2 linked regions of the Canis lupus familiaris genome follow. The protein of the gene in region 1 purifies or fractionates together with the protein of each later gene. This does not show direct contact. Links are inferred from orthologs where the notes say so. Each region holds a gene or a part of one and is shown on either strand. Other genes may lie near its edges.

Region 1 (8,354 bases):
GCTGGCGTGCAGTGGTTCTCCATCCACCAGCTGAACACCCAGTTTCAAGGCTCTCTTCCATCCTTGTTCCTAGCTAAAGGGTGATTCTCCAGGTACAACTACTCTCATTGCTAGACCTTACCATCCCTATCAGCAAGGAGGGCGGGGCATAAACTCTACCTTGCAGTGTGGCAAGTACTTCATGTCTCTTGGAGGAGGCTAGTGTTCAGAGTTCCTAGGGTTTGACACGAATAAACACTGTCCATCAGATTCTGGTGTCTGACCAGAGCCTTTGCACACTGAAAAGGATGCTTATAATTACTGGCATTTCTAATAGTATCTTAGTTATTAAAGCTGTACATTTAAAATCTAATTTGTGTTTTTAACATTGATTTCCAAGTCCTGTTCTAACTACAAACTAGTTGGTTTTGTATATAAACACTTTTGCTTATTCCTTGACTGATGGTTCAATCATCTCAAAACTTAATGGGTTAAACTGTAAATATTGTTTGTACGTTGAATCTAGTTTCCTCAGACATTTCAAAGTCAACCACATACCCAATCTGTTTGAATTCCACAAACATTTCCAATTGCTAATAGGGAAGACCTAAAATTAGATGAAGTTTTCCTAAGCATTCAAATATGAACATATTTATGTCTAAACTCATATATTTAATAAATAAAAATCTTTAAACATCAAATGCTTATATACTTATAATTCTTCGACATTGTTAAAATCACAGATCTAATTTCACATTCCTTTAAGCATTTAAAATTAAATTCAATGTATCAGATTCTCTAATACATTATCTTAACAAAATATCACAATAATCAGAAACTTATTCCTCAATTTGACAAAGATTACTGATAACCAGGGTTTTAATTTACTTGCCATAATCTCTGTGTATGTTTTGATATCCTACCAAGGTAACATATTCTATCTAAAGTCAGGACTGTGATACATTCACGGTTAGAGATTCTGAGCTGGTCATGTACTGGTTGCTACTTCTGCAATGGTTTCACCCAAATTTCAGGTAAACAAACTAAGCCCCTTGCAGTAGTAATGGGGTTTTCAAGGCCACCCCCTATGTTATACCTTACTTGATGAGGGTTAGGATTATGTTACCTGTTCTAAAACTCTTAATGAAAAAAAATAAAAAATAAAAAAATAAAACTCTTAATGGCCTATTTGCATCCTCACCCACTACCCAGATTGGAATCCCTTTACTGTCTCAGTAAGTTCTGCTTCCTATTTATTAATTTTTTTAACTGACCCACTCCATTCTAATTAGAGAAATCATTGAAGGAAGCAACTAATTAGCAAGATTTCTCTTGTGTTTTGTCATTACATAACTCCATGTTGATGGAGGGAAAACAATCCTAAAGAATTTTAGTGCTTAAATGCATTTTTCTGTGAGAGACACATGGTTTTAGGTTAATTTGGTCAACATTACCTTTGAAATGAAAATAAATGTCAGAGGTGTCCTTTTGGCTCTAGTCTACTCATCCGTCCATTCATTCATCGTGTGCCTGCCATGATGGTGGTACTGTGTAGGTGCTGGGATACAATGCACAGAGATACAATCTGCACCTGAAAAAAGCATACCAAAATTAGGTCCGTAACGGAGCCAACTCACTAATTCATGCTCTCCAAACCTTTGATCAAATCATTTTTACTGTAGCCAAGGTCATGATCACAATCATCTTTGAAATCCAATATAAGGAAGAACTGAACACAGTTCAGGCAGACACTTACTGAGAATGGGTAGTTAGGAGAAGCAAATGCTTTCATTTTCTCCATCAGCTTGCTCGTTGATTGGCTATCTGTTCAAGGCACTTAGGCCCACACTCACTTAAGGTGTTCCACTTTATTTGAGGAGAATGCATGGTTAATTAGAGAAATGTGAGCAGGCAAATGGGCTAGGTGAGCCCCAATTCAGAGTAGAAGATCTCTACTGGCTGGATGGGTGTGGAGCTGCTGAAACTAGGAGAGACAGAGCCTGTGCTGGATCTGTAGTAACCAGGACCCCAAGTCTGTGACTCTGATTCCCTGAATCAACACATACTTACTGCATTCCCACTTTATGCAGGCACTTGGATTGGGTATTGGGAATACATCAATAGGCAAGACAGACCAAATTCTTTCTCCTAGAAGATCAAAATCAGGGGAAAGGAGACAGCAATAAGTAACTATATAGACTATGAAGTGGTGATTAGTGCTGTGAAAAAAAATAAAGTGGGGTAGGGTGACAAAAAGTTGGGGTAGGGGGTCCATTTCAGGTTGGTTGTCAAAGAAGTCCTCTCTGATGAGGTAGTATGTTGAGTTGAATAGTGTCTGCTCAAAATTAATGTCTACACACAACCTCAAAAATGGACACCTATTTGGAAATAGGGTCTTTGTGGATGCAGTAAGTTGAAAGCCTCAAGATGATGTCATACTGGATTCAATGTGGACACTAAATCCAATTACTGGTGTGCTTATAAGAGGAGGGGACACAGGAAAACTATGTCAAGATGTCAGAGAGATTGGAGTAATGCTGCCACAGGCCAAAGAACAGCTAGGACCATCAAAAGCTGGAAGAGGCAAATAAGGATCCCTGAAAATTTAATAACAACGAAGGGATAAATTGTCCACTGGCCTAAAGTATATAGAGTTCCCAGAAGTCATCCAAAAAGGATTATTTCATATAAAAAATTTTTGAGATTCTACCCTAATAAGATCCATATATTTCCCCCTGTACCATGTCTAGAAATTCTGGCTAGATTGTTCACAGGGTTGCTGTGAGGATTAAATGATTTAGTAAAAGCTAAAGCTCTTAGTATAGTGCCAGATACCTAATGAATGCTCCACTGATCTTAGCCATTTGTAGCTGTTTTGATGATGATGTTCACTACAAACTCCTTTTCCGTAGCCACAACACCCAGAACAGGCCTGGGCATACGGTATAATATGGAGGTAGATGCTCAGTGAGTGATAGATAGGTCTCCAGCATTTGGGATTTCTTCCACACGTGAAATATCAGAGCTTATTTTATGTCTTTTAAAAAATGTTCTAAGTATTAGTTGATTTTTAAGGGATCCCTGGGTGGCGCAGCGGTTTGGCGCCTGCCTTTGGCCCAGGGCGCGATCTTGGAGATCCGGGATCGAATCCCACGTCGGGCTCTCAGTGCATGGAGCCTGCTTCTCCCTCTGCCTATGTCTCTGCCTCTCTCTCTCTCTCTCTCTCTCTCTCTCTGTGACTATCATAAATAAAAATTTAAAAAAATTAAAAAAAAAAAAAAAAACTGTTGAGGGACTCCTGGGTCGCCCAGCGGTTTAGCGCCGCCTTCAGTCCCGGGCATGATCCTGGAGACCCGGGATCGAGTCCCGCATCCGGCTCCCTGCGAAGAGCCTGCTTCTCCCTCTGCCTGTGTCTCTGCCTCTCCCTCTCTCTCTCATGAATAAATAAATAAAATCTAAAAAAAAAAAAAAAAAAAAAACCTGTTGATCCAACTCAACTTTATTTTAATTTTATTAACTTCTGCTTTTATATTAATATTCAGGCTTTGTTTGCTAGTGAATTCCAGGTAATGTTTTCCCGAGGGCACGGTTTGCATCCCACAGGACAACACGGTGTATAGCCATAGTGACTGTTGATAAAGCAGTGATGCACACGAGGCGAGGAGCCCAGGGAATGCGCAAGAGCGGTCGGCCGCTTTAGCCCTGCCCTGACGTTCTCAGAACACCAGGCAAGCCGCTGCTTACCAAGCACCTTCCGCGCCTTTCTCCGCTCTCGCCCCTGTAACTCCTCCCAGTCCCTCCGGGGGCGGGGGCGGGGGCGGGGGCGGGGGCGGGCCGTGCGGTCCCTGACCCCGCCCCCCGCCACGTTTCCGTGACGCCCCGCGGGGGCGCCGCACCGTCTGCAATCTCCCGTCTTCTTCCGCCTTCTAAGGCAACTCAGGAGGACTGAGATGGGAAAAATATTCCCTTGACAACAGAGTTCTTTCCACCCGGGCCCAAGAGCGGAGGGACCGGAAGCCGCGAGCCTGTGTCAGGATTGGGCCCCGCGCGCTCGGGGGCGGGCCAAGTGGGCGGAGGGATCCATTTTACGCGGCGGAAGGTCCGCCGCCTCCATTCAGGGCGGGGAGAGCGGCGCGGGCGGCCGTTGCTGTGGTTTCCGAGTCGAGGGTTTTTTTTTTTTTTTTTTTGCCTTCGGGGAGCTGAAACTGGAGGACGTTGCGTCTCGCGTCCAAGTTTAGCCGCAGGTGACTACAGAGCCGGCGGCCAGGAGCGCAGCTTCTCCTTCGGACCGGGGCCGGCCCTGCCTTCCCTTCGCCCCTCGGCGTCCGTATCTAGGTCGGCTCCGGCGCGGCTGGGAAGGCCGCGGGCGAGATGTTCAAAAACACGTTCCAGAGCGGCTTCCTCTCCATCCTCTACAGCATTGGCAGCAAACCCCTGCAGATCTGGGACAAAAAGGTCAGGATCTGGGGGCGCTGGCTGGGCGGGGCGCAGGGGCCGCGCCGCTCCTCGTGCGGGCGCTGAGGGCGGGCGGCGGGGGCGTCCTGCCGCGGCGGGACCCCGGCCCCGAGGCGCGAGGTGGGGGCGTGGCCGGGGCTTCTGTGGCCTGCGGCCGCGGTGTGCCGTGACCGCCGAACCTCGCCGCCGTCTTGACTTGGTCAGTCGCTTGCTCGGTTTCCCCATTTATATAGCGGGGGGATCGGTGGTACCGTGTCCTAGCGTGAAATGCATGACCTTACAACTTGAGGCCGCTTTGAAAGAAGCTGCTGTTCACTGATTGCACGAATATTTCCTGATGCCCTGTTGGGTGACGGGCACTGTGCTGGGCACAAGACACAGGACCTTTGTTCCAGGCACACAAGCCAGAGGCAGTTATGTTTGGGTTTCATTCATTTGCTCCTTTCCTTCCAGTGATCTCCAGGGAGAATTCGGGGGCCTTGGGCACCTGCTCCACATTCAGTGCTACTTGGGGTCTGTACTGTGCCTTCCGTGCTTGATGCCTACATCAGAAAAAGTTACAAAATGGTGATAAAGCTTTGTTTGGATTAATAAACTCAGAGCCAGGTTTCAGCCTCATTATTATTATTTTTTGAGGTATCCTCTGGATAACACTTTTTCACTGACCCCTGGAGATAATGATCCTGTCCTGAGTCGTTTCATTTCTCATCCAGATTCCCAGTCAGCTGTACTCACCCCCCCCCCCCTTTTTGTTGTTGTTGTTGTTGTTGTTGTTGTTGTTAAGGATAAGTTAAGACAGGCACTTTATTGTGATTCCTGAGGGGAGAACAGAGAGAAGTGGTATGTTGAATGGTGTTTCTATAGAGATGGATGTGGAATCATCTAAATAACAGTTTATTGGTCATGAAGCCAAGAATCTTGGATTTCATCTCAGAACAACTCTTTGTCTTCCCTTATCCACAGATAGTGTTTTGGGCAACCCAGAGATTGGGAGAGAACACGACAGCCTTCTGCCTGTCACCACTAGGAAATTCTGCATTTCCAAAGCAGCTTTGAGGGTGTGTTCTTAAAGTCATTTTTATAAGACAGTTGAAAGATCTGAGTATAGTGAGTTATTTGGGAGCTTATGCATATATGAAAAATTTGACCAATTTTCCTCTTTTACAAGTTAAGGCTAATACCAGGAGTATTACACAGGAAAGTAGTTCCTTAAGTTAGTTAGTTAGTTAGTTAGTTATTTTTTACATTACTGAGGTTTTCAGTTCCATGGTTTTGTTCACATTGGAATAAACACTGTAAACTCTAAAATCACATCTCTGCAAAGAGAACCTAGAATAAATATACCTAGAAACTTTGTAAGGATGATGGCTTCACAGCTGTGGCTTGACTTAGTTATGGGCTGTCAGGAGGCCTGGAGAGAGTGACCTTGTGTGCCCTTGAACGTGGAATGGTAACAGAATTGTCAATATGAGGCAGTCAAACTAGAGAATGGGACTTGATCTAGGAGAGCTTTACAGAGCAGGTCAGAGAACTTACACTGAAACAAGTCCAGGGTTAGGGAGGCCTCAGCATTTCTAGTGTGTGAAACTTACCAGAGTTGTCCATTTTAACCCTTTGGGGCTTGATCTTTTGTAGCCTATTTTTTACAGCTTTTTGATTAGTCAACATGTTTACACATGGAGTATAAAAGCAAAGTAACCATGGTGCACTGTGTCGCTTAACAACACCACTAGAGGTCGGATGGTACCCTGATGACATAAACACGTGTGAAAACATTAGAACAACTGGCAGGGTTACAGGGCCTAAATGAAACACGTTTGAGCAAAGAAAACATATAGAATAACACTCATTTATTTTTTTTTAATTTATTTATTTATGATAGTCACAGAGAGAGAGAGAGAGAGGCAGAGACACAGGCAGAGGGAGAGGCAGGCTCCATGCACCGGGAGCCCAATGTGGGATTCGATCCCGGGTCTCCAGGATCACGCCCTGGGCCAAAGGCAGGCGCCAAACCGCTGCGCCACCCAGGGATCCCTAACACTCATTTTCAACAAAGTTCTCATAATAGTAAAAATTAATTACATTTCTACTTTTTGTATTTAGACTACAAAGTGTTTAGGGGTGAATTTTTTCCCCTGGGGCAAGGTAAGGAAAAGAAGAATGGCAAGTTTGGGATCAGATTCATAGGCCTCGTTGTATGTGTGCCTTTTCTTGGCTGTATTACAGAGTCCTCAGGAAGTTTTGGGACTCCAACCCAGTTGGGAAAACACTGGGAATTGATAGACTTATCAAAGACTTATTGAGCAGCAGTTAAGTCACAGGCATTGTGTAGATTTGGGGTGACAGCAGAGAGAAGACCTTTCCATACTCTCAGGGAGTAAGGCAAAGTTGCAGTAAAGGCAAAGTTTGATGGAAAGAGGGATGGACTGCCCACATTTATCTTAGAAATGACCCTGACCTGGTTGCTTGGGTGGCTCAGCAGTTGAGCATCTGCCTTTGGCTCAGGGTGTGATCCTGGAGTCCCACATCAGACTCCCAGCAGGGAGCCTGCTTCTGCCTCTGCCTATATCTCTTGCCATATCTCTGCCTCTTGGTGTCTCTCATGAATAAATAAATGAAATCTAAAGAAAAGAAAAGAAATGACTCTGACCTTTGCCAGTAGGTACATATGGCTATTTTTACTATTTTGGTTTTTTTTTTTTTTTAATTTTTATTTATTTGTTTATGATAGTCACATAGAGAGAGAGAGAGGCAGAGACACAGGCAGAGGGAGAAGCAGGCCCCATGCACCGGGAGCCTGACGTGGAATTCGATCCCGGGTCTCCAGGATCGCCCCCTGGGCCAAAGGCAGGCGCTAAACCGCTGCGCCACCCAGGGATCCCTATTTTTACTATTTTGATTACACAAACTTTACTATTCCCCTGCCTGAGTATATCAAGACAGAATTTCTATAGTTTGTTTTCTGTGAAGAATAATCTTGGAAAAATTAGTTTTGGCTTTTTTTTTTTTTTTTTTCAGATTTTTTTTTTTAATTTATTTATTCGTGAGAGACATAGAAAGGGACAGGCTCCATGCAGGGAGCCTGATGTGGGACTCGATCCCGGGACTCCAGGATCACACTGTGAGCCTAAGGCAAACAGATGCTCAACCACTGAGCCACCCAGGCATCCCTAGTTTTGGCTTCTGTTTAGGCTGTGTCTCCTTATGAATGTGTGGAGTGAATGCCATAATCCTAATGCCAGTGAATTGACAAACTCTGTTGTTGTGAGTGTGGTTACTAATATATGTAACACCTGCATTGTGTCGCATTTTGTAGTGATTCCACCTTCTCCCATGGTTATGGGGATTAAATGAAGGTGTATATAAAATGCTTGGCAGCAGTTATGGCATACAGTACTAAGTAGGGCAGGAAACTGAGAAATTTGCTCAAGAGTAAATAAGTCTATAATTGATGCTTAGAAATAGGAAGTGCAGTAAAGTCAGATTTCAGAAATTAGAATAATTTAGTCATTGTACCAGGGCTTTCCCTGTCTAAAAGCCTTAACATGGCTCTCAGGCCACACAGCACATGGTCTGGTGCCCGCTTCACTGTTTCTCCAGGCTCACCTCCCTTTCTTCCCTCACCTTAGCAGTAACCTCCCACTGAACTGAAAGAGGTCATGTTCTCGAACCTTCAGGCTTCTGTCCTTGTCCATCCCTCTGCTGGGACTCCCCTTGCCATCTCTTCATTAGTCTCTGGATCACAGTGGAAAGGCATTTCCTCAGGTTACATTAGTTTATATCCACTCACCCCTCCAAGGTTAAGTTCGTTTTTATCCCCTTATAGAACCTCTACTTCCTTTTCATCATCATCCTCGTACTTGAAATTGGCTTCTTAAAATCTGTATGCCTGGTTATACTGTAAACTTCCTGATAGAGGC
Region 2 (7,627 bases), on another chromosome or scaffold:
GGGAGGGGGGTCACAGTGGAGAAGGGGTGGCCATAGGCAGAACTGTTGCAGGAAGTGAGGAATCCCACACCATCCTGGAGTCTCTCAATCATTCAGCACGATTACTGAGCACCCACTGCACACGGATGCTATTTTACGTACTGGTGATTCACTATTGAAAACAAACAAAAATCTTGGCCCTTGCGGGCTTACGTTCTAGGGAGAAAACAGTGACCAAGGTAATGGGACGAGTAGTACGTTAAACAGTAAAAAGTTAGATGGGAAGATTGACGGCAGAAGGAGGAAGGAAGTGCCAGGGAACATGTAAAAGCTGCTACAGCTTTCAAGAGGGAGGTCAGGGAAGCCACATGGAGAAAAATGACAACTGAGGAGAAACCACAGGGAATAAGTCGCAAAGCCAACACTGCAGTGGCCTGAAGTCTGGTGGAGCCTTAGAGGCTACACAGGGGTGGAGTGTGTGGGTAAGAGGAGGAGAGGACCAGACAGGTAAGGTCTTGTGGCCGTGGTGAGGACTCTGGGTGCCCAAGGAATGGGGCAGTCATGGAGGGTTCTGAGCAGAGGGTGCCATGTTCAGATGGGATCATTCGGATTCAGACCCAATACTCTGTTAACTGGGGCCATTCTCTGTGAGACCTGCATGCACATCAGCAACTGTGAGGGAGTGAGCCAGTGACTGAAGCCTCCTCTCCACCAGAGGGTGCTGTCCACCAGGCCCAGGAACCCGGGGAACTTTTAGGGGTCAGAGGTCCGCAGGTCACACGGAGTTGGGTGCAGCTTCAGTTTCCACACAGGCAAAGCCTGGTCAAAGTACCATCCCATATGCTCTGGAGCCTGTGCATGTGAAGCCGCCGCACGCCGCCCCCCCCCCCCCCCCACATGGGGCTGGGCCTACCAGCACCGAGGAATAAAGCAGCTGTGAGCAACAGGGGTGAGGATGGACACTGGGCCAGAATGGAGGAGCACCAGCCAGCAGGCCTCACCTGACAAAGTCACCATCGGCCATGCCATAGGTCGTGGCCTGCTTGTTGAGATCTGCCACCTGCTCCTGGTTCAGTTCGTCCACATCCACCTCCACGTCTGCACCAAGAGAAAGGCTGTCAGGGGCCAAAGCCAAATGAGAAGACCAGGGATGAGGGGGCAGTGCCCTGAGAGATGGGGGCACGAGGGGATGCCCACCACACTGGAGGCCTCTGCAGGGAGGGAACGAGTCAGCTCATCTCGGCGTCCCCAGGCTGGCACAGGGTTGGCCGGAGGTGAGCGCAACCAACGGCAAGGGGCGTTAGGTGGGGGTGGGGAGGAGATGCAATGCATGAGGACCCAAATGAGCACTGAGATGGACGATCGAGACCAGTGGACTGAGTGATGTACCATGTGTCGATGGGGACGGATGATGGGGGGTGAAGATCTGGGTGAGTCAGAAGTGTTTAGGAGCTAGATGCACTCTGAGAAGGGGATGGATGCCTCACATATGTGTGATAAGCAGCAGCTGGCTGAGCGGATGAGGTTAGACAACTGGAGCTACCAGTATTTGCAGGGAACAGTGAATGGCAGGGTCTGGATGGGGGGAGGTGAGGGATGGCTCTGGACTGAACGAACACATGTTCTCCAGAGGAGAGACAAAAAGAGGGAGACAGAGAGGCTAACCCAAGTAGAAAAGAACGGAAACAGAACCTAGGTGGGGACAATATCATAGAAGTAGTATCCTAAAATGAGAAAGGAGAAATACAGAGAGGGAGGCCAACACAGAGGAGCACGTGAGTAAGACATGGAGGACGGCAGAGGCTGGAGTGCCCTGGAGCAGGGACGGGAGAAATGGGGCTCGTAAGTGCGGGGTGTCCCACAGAGGGTGAGGAACGAGACACGAAAACGATGCCCAGGGACTGCGGGGTGGGAGAGGGCAGAGAGGGGACCCCACCGATGTCGGGGATGACCTCATCTTCGTCCGAGTTGCTCTCCTCCTCTGCTGGTGACTCCTCCTCCTCTGGCTTCTCCACCACCTTCTCTACTTCAGCCACGGTACTGTCCTCATAGGTGTAGCCAATGGAAGCCTTCTTCTCTGCCAGCCTGGGACGGGGGAGCCCATGAGCCAGGAGGGCCACGGGCAGGGTCCAGCCCAGATCCCAAGCCATGAGGGAGGGCACACTGACTCCCCAAGCTCTAGCCTCCCAAGGGTGCTCTTGCCTCCAGGCCCTCACACACACAGTCCCCCAGCCTAGAACCTTCTGCACCTGCCTCCTACCAGCCCTTCCCTCTTCCCCTAAGCTCCAGCTCCAAGGCCTCCAGGAAGTCATTACCTAGGCTGGGTCATGCACCATCCTGAGCTCCTCAGCCCCACCCTTGTTGGGTCATGACTACTGGGGGTCAGGGAGGTCCCAGCGGGGCAGGCTCCCTTCTGTCTTCTAAGCACTTGCTGTTAGCAGACTCGAGGGCAGGACCCAGAGTTATCTTGGGTAACAACGTGACCCAGCTCTGCCCATAACAGGGGAGCAGCCTCAAGCATGTCTGTTGCTGAATTAATTTAGTTAATAGTCCCAAGCACCCTTTGAGTGCCAACCTCATCCTGAAAGTGGGATCATGGGTAAGGATCAGTCATTGAGAAGCTTCCATGGCATCTGTGGAAACTCCAGATGGAAGAAAGGAGTCAGGCTCCTGGACTGCTGTGGGACAGGTGGGCCAAGAGCTGCCCCAGGAGGAAGACAGGGCTACCCCGGCAGAGGGCACAAAGACAGAAGGGAGACTGCCCACCAGCTGCTCCAGGTAAGGCCCCAACTCCCCCCACAGCTTGTTCCTTGAAGGACATGGCCTTGAGAAGCCCCCCTCTGAAGTGACACTTGCTGCTGCTGAACACACACAGGGCAGGCACAGAACCACCTACAAGCTCCATTCACTGCAGGAAGAGAGGACTCCTCCTAGCCCTTGTGGCAGGGGAGCACAACAAAAGTCAGAGAGGGAGTCCTCAAAGGCAGGACTCACCCACGCCTGGGTCGACACAGGCCACCACTTCCTCCTCTAAGTGTTTACTGAGTGCTTACTGTGTACCCAACACTGGCCTTGACTCTGAGAAAACTGAGGTGGATGAGCTAGATGAGGCCGTGCCCTGGTGGGGCTCACAGTCCTCCGGGCTCCCCCACTGCCACCATGCCCCCAGACCCCAACTCACTTCTTCTTCTCATCCTCACTGGGTCTCTGGAGGCCTCCATACAGCTCGTCAATGTAGATCTGGTACAGGCACTGCTCCTCTGAGACTGAAGCAGAGTACGAGACAGAAGGGTCAGAGTGGGGGTGAGGGACACAAGAATGCAGAAGGAAGGAAGACGAGTGCAACCCAAGTTCAGCCAGGGGCAGAGTTGCTGGAGTGCAGATAATCACAAACTGTGTGGGGAGGACACAGCAACTGCAGGACTCGCCATGAGACCATAAAGGGGCTTAACTTCTCTCTGCCTGGTTTCCTTTTCTGTAAAGCAGCTGCCCTGGCAGAGTGAGCACTTGGCACTAGAGCAATGCTCCTATTATCCCTGCAAGGGAGGCCTTTGGTTGGACCCCTCAAAACTACAAACTTCTGACCACTGGATGTCACTGGGACTTCATGGGCCACTCCACCATGTGCCTCTCTGTGGCTCAGTTTCAATTACATGTGTTTGGAGCCATCTGAGCTCTTGTTTACCCACAACACCTAACTTGGGGAGCTCGGCATTGTGTCAGAGCCTTCTCTGATCTTCCCTGCAATTGAACACATGGCCCTGACGGGCTGCGGGATCCTGGGCAAGTCCCCTTCCCTCTGTGGGTCTCAGCTTTTCTATTTGTAAAGTCAAGTTGGAGGGCTGAGTGAACCCAGAGGTGACGGAGCACAGTCCCTTGCTCCAGCAGCCCCACCCCCACCCCCATGTCCTTCCTGGTTCCCAATCATGGTATACAAAGCCTGGGAGAGGGCCTTGCTGGCCTGTCTCACACAAGCTGCCTCACTCTCCTTGCTCCAGCCATACAGGCTGCCTGCCCCCATCCACCCGAAAGATCCCAGCCAACCTCTCCTCACCAGAGTTCCTCTCCACCCTTCTCCAACCCTAGCCTCTGTCAAGCACCTCAGAGAACAGCGCACTGTCTGTTTATAACCCCACCTTCGTTTGCAATCACCACCCACTTTGGGGACATTGTGGTTGCTCCCCGCCCCCCCACGAGACCCTGACCCCAGAGGAGCACCTGCCACACCATAGGTGCTCAGGAATTATCGCAATGCACGAATGCAGGGTCAGACCAAAGGAAGGGAAACTCTGGCTCTATCACCAAGAACCCCCTGGCCTTGGGTGAAAGCAAAAGCAGCAACAGTATCAATGATGATAAATTTCCCTGATTCTAACACCTCACTGATTGCTAGAACTTTGGCAATCTTTGGTTTTAGAGATGCTAAAACACCCATCTTAGAAACAAAGAAATTAGAGAATAGCAAATCCACACCTAGGACTGACTGAACCAGGCTCAGTGCCAGGGCTTCATGTACCCCTCACCGGGCTCTTACAACTACCTTGGGGGAAAGAAACCATCATCACCACCCTTCTCTGGGAGGAGATTGAGACTGGCCAGGCTAAGGGTCTCATGTGGCCTGTCCTCCTTCTAACTCAACAGGGAAACCCTAAGAGGGGAGGTCTCAGTCCTTCTCAGGAGGGGAGCTAAGGCTCAGAGCTGACCATCAGAAGGAAGCAGTGGTTAAGGGCAGGGTGAGAATCCCAGCTTTTTGGACGGTGTTCCCACCAACTCCTGAGCCTCAACGTCCTCGTCTATAAAATGGATGCCACTGCTAGATGGTTGTGCAGATGTGATGAGATAGAATGCAGACAAAAAGATCCAAGTTTGTCAGAGTCCAAACCTCCCCGGGCAAGCCCAGAATGGGGAAAACCCTGAGTCTCCGTTTTATTTGTGAAGCAGCATGGTGATGGCTCAGAGGAACGATACCAATATATACAAAGGATTGGCAGATTGTCAAACTTTGTGTAAATATTCTTAGAAAATTCTTGAAAGAAATTTCCTCTTCAAAAGTTACATTCTGACCCAAACAAACTGGCAGAAACACACAGAGGGATATGATGCATTCTTGCTATTTTCCCAAATTTTTTAGGACAAAGATCAGAAAGGCAGAGGGTGTGGGATATGAAAGTGACCTCGGCAGGACTATCTTGCTCAGGAGACATTGCCTGTACTGGGTCCAAAGACAGAGGCCTCAGAAGAAAGAGCTGGGAGCAAACCCCAGGTCCTGTAGTTGAAAGCACTGGAGTGAAAGTGGTCTTCCTGTGTCCACGGCCTCCCTACCCACCCGCCATGCCCCAGCTCACTCACTGCCGGCAAAGTCGTTCTGCACCAGGCCTCGGTAGCGCTCGTAGTTACATTTCCGCTCGTCTGACTCCTGTTCTGGGGAGCTTTGGGGGAGGTCAAGGCCTTGAGATCAGAGGAAGAGGGTAGGCCACACCCCAAGCCAGCAGGAGCAGGGGATGAGGAGTCTGGTTCAGGCTGGGAAGCTCCCCACTGGCATACCTCCTCCTTCCCAGGAAAGTGACAGGCAGGCAAGGGCTTGGGAAAGAGGGGGGAGTAAGGCTCAGACTCTCTGCCTGGCAAGCGTCAGGGGCGCAGCTTACATGGTGGTGAGCAGCGGCGGGGTGTAGTCGGGGATGTGATCAAGGTGGGCACGGACATCGAAGCGGTCAATCATGTTGTTGGTGTCCCCCTGCCAGGGCATCCTGAAATGGGGAGCAACGAGTTTAGGGTCCCCAGGGCCCACACCCATTCCCTGTCACCTCAGCTCTCAGTGATATTCCAGGGCCCCACCCTCAACCCCCACTTCTCAGTCTCTTATGTCCCTCATCCCCCTGAATCCACATTCAAGCTCCTGGCCTCAAGAGGGGCCTGAATGGGACCCTGGGAACTGGGGCCCTATTTCTCAGAACCAAGCACAAGTGGAAAACTCGAACCAGGTTCTAGAGGCCACTTGCTAAGCCCCTGTCGTCTTGAAACATCCCCTGTGGCAACCTACTTCCCGTTTCATCTGAGCCTGTGGCCATGGCCCCACCCATTCCCAAGACCTCCAATCCTCAGATACAGACCCTACCTCCTGCCCTTCAAAGTCAGTCTTACATGTTAACGGGGCTCTCGGCAGCCAGGGCAACTGCAGAATCCAGGTGCACCTTGCAAGCTCGGCCATGCACCTGCAGGAACTGGGCTGGGTCCTTCTTCTGCAGGGGGAGAGAGGATGGAGGTCACCACGGCACTGCACTCCCTGCCACCCCCTTGCATCCAAGCTTGGTCGTGAGCCCACCTCTGATGTCAAGTGGTCCATGCTGCAGAGGCAGTCTGACCTGCACAGGGATGGCAGCACTAATGGGGCCACCTAACCCCTAGGGACAGGGGTTCCTGAGATGGTGGAGAAAGGCTCTGAGCTCTGGCCCAGCTTAATGTAAAGTTGGTATCAAGACACCCCCTGCCCCTGCCAAAATATGATTCTCCAACTCTTCACCTGCCCCCTACCTCCACTCATTCAGACCCAGGCATGAGCACACTGGCCTGGACCAGCCTCGAAAATACCAGGACCACACAAGCACATGCAAAAATGATCAGTGGCACTACTCATCAGAGAAATGCCAATGAGAACCACAAGACATTGTTTCACACTCACCAGGACAGCTAAAACGGGAAGGAGGACAGACGTTAACAATACCAACAAGAACGTGGAGAAATTAAGTGTTTCAGCAGTTAAAGAAAGAACTGCCATACAACCCAGCAATTCCACTCCAAAGGACGCATGTACCCACGAAGGACTGAGTACTTGTACCAACATTCAAGCAGCACGATCCACAACGGCCGAAAGACAGAAGCAATCATATGTCCATCAATGGATGGCCGATAAACAAACCGTGGTCTATTTCGACAATGGAAAATTGTCCATAAAAAAGAATGAAGAACCAACACATGCTACAACATGGATGAATCTCGAAAACAGGACGCTAAGCGAAAGATGCCGGTCACAAGAGGCCACATGTTGTAGGATTCCGTTACTGTGAAACATCCAGAATAAGCAAATCCACAGGACAGGAAGTGGATGAGCGGCTACCCAAGGCTGGGAAGTTGGGGGACTGACTGCTAATGGGTATGGGGTCCATCCAGGCTGTGCTGATGAATATACTGAAATCCACAGAACTGTACAGCTGGTGAGCTGTATCTCAATACAGCTGTTAGGAAGGCACCGACGTAGAGGAGAACATTCCCTGAGTCTGTGCCCCTCAAGCCTGAGACATTATGTGGAGGTCACGATTCCAAGTCATCGTGAGTCAGGAAAGGATAAACCTTGCACCACTGAGCTCCCCAAGAGCGGGGCCCTGGCCGGGATCCTGCTGCGTGCCACATCAGAGGAACCCGCAAGAGCCACAAGAAGGGCTACTTGGGCTACCCACTGAGGGCTGGCCAAGCCCCCAGCAACACCTCCCCAGGGCCCAACCCCTTCTTGCCACACCCGTCTGGCCAGCATGTATGTCTCTCTCCCAGACCACCTGGCAGCCTCTTCTTGGGTTCCCTGCTGCCAGCTAGCCCTCTGAAGTCCATTTCTCACACGGCCTGGCCTGGGGGTGGGGGGGTGGGGGTGGGCAGC

The links. Proteins that work in one complex are often made in the same cells at the same time.
Region 2: the proteins of CFAP20 (region 1) and CLK4-associating serine/arginine rich protein purify together in Homo sapiens (affinity purification with mass spectrometry; 3 studies listed by BioGRID and IntAct, counting the BioPlex papers as one, with this or other methods). This does not show direct contact. The link is inferred for Canis lupus familiaris from reciprocal best matches to the Homo sapiens genes CFAP20 and CLASRP.

The regions. Positions count from the first base shown.
Region 1 is NC_049223.1:57,712,249-57,720,602, forward strand, and holds the start of CFAP20 (cilia- and flagella-associated protein 20), read left to right. Parts: upstream 1-4,103; 5' UTR 4,104-4,350; coding exon 4,351-4,434; intron 4,435-8,354. UniProt on the Homo sapiens protein: Cilium- and flagellum-specific protein that plays a role in axonemal structure organization and motility. Microtubule inner protein (MIP) part of the dynein-decorated doublet microtubules (DMTs) in cilia axoneme, which is required for motile cilia beating.
Region 2 is NC_049222.1:111,130,371-111,137,997, forward strand, and holds part of CLK4-associating serine/arginine rich protein, read right to left. Parts: intron 6,219-7,627; coding exon 6,121-6,218; intron 5,727-6,120; coding exon 5,625-5,726; intron 5,409-5,624; coding exon 5,329-5,408; intron 3,246-5,328; coding exon 3,161-3,245; intron 2,065-3,160; coding exon 1,916-2,064; intron 1,078-1,915; coding exon 981-1,077; intron 1-980. UniProt on the Homo sapiens protein: Probably functions as an alternative splicing regulator. May regulate the mRNA splicing of genes such as CLK1. May act by regulating members of the CLK kinase family.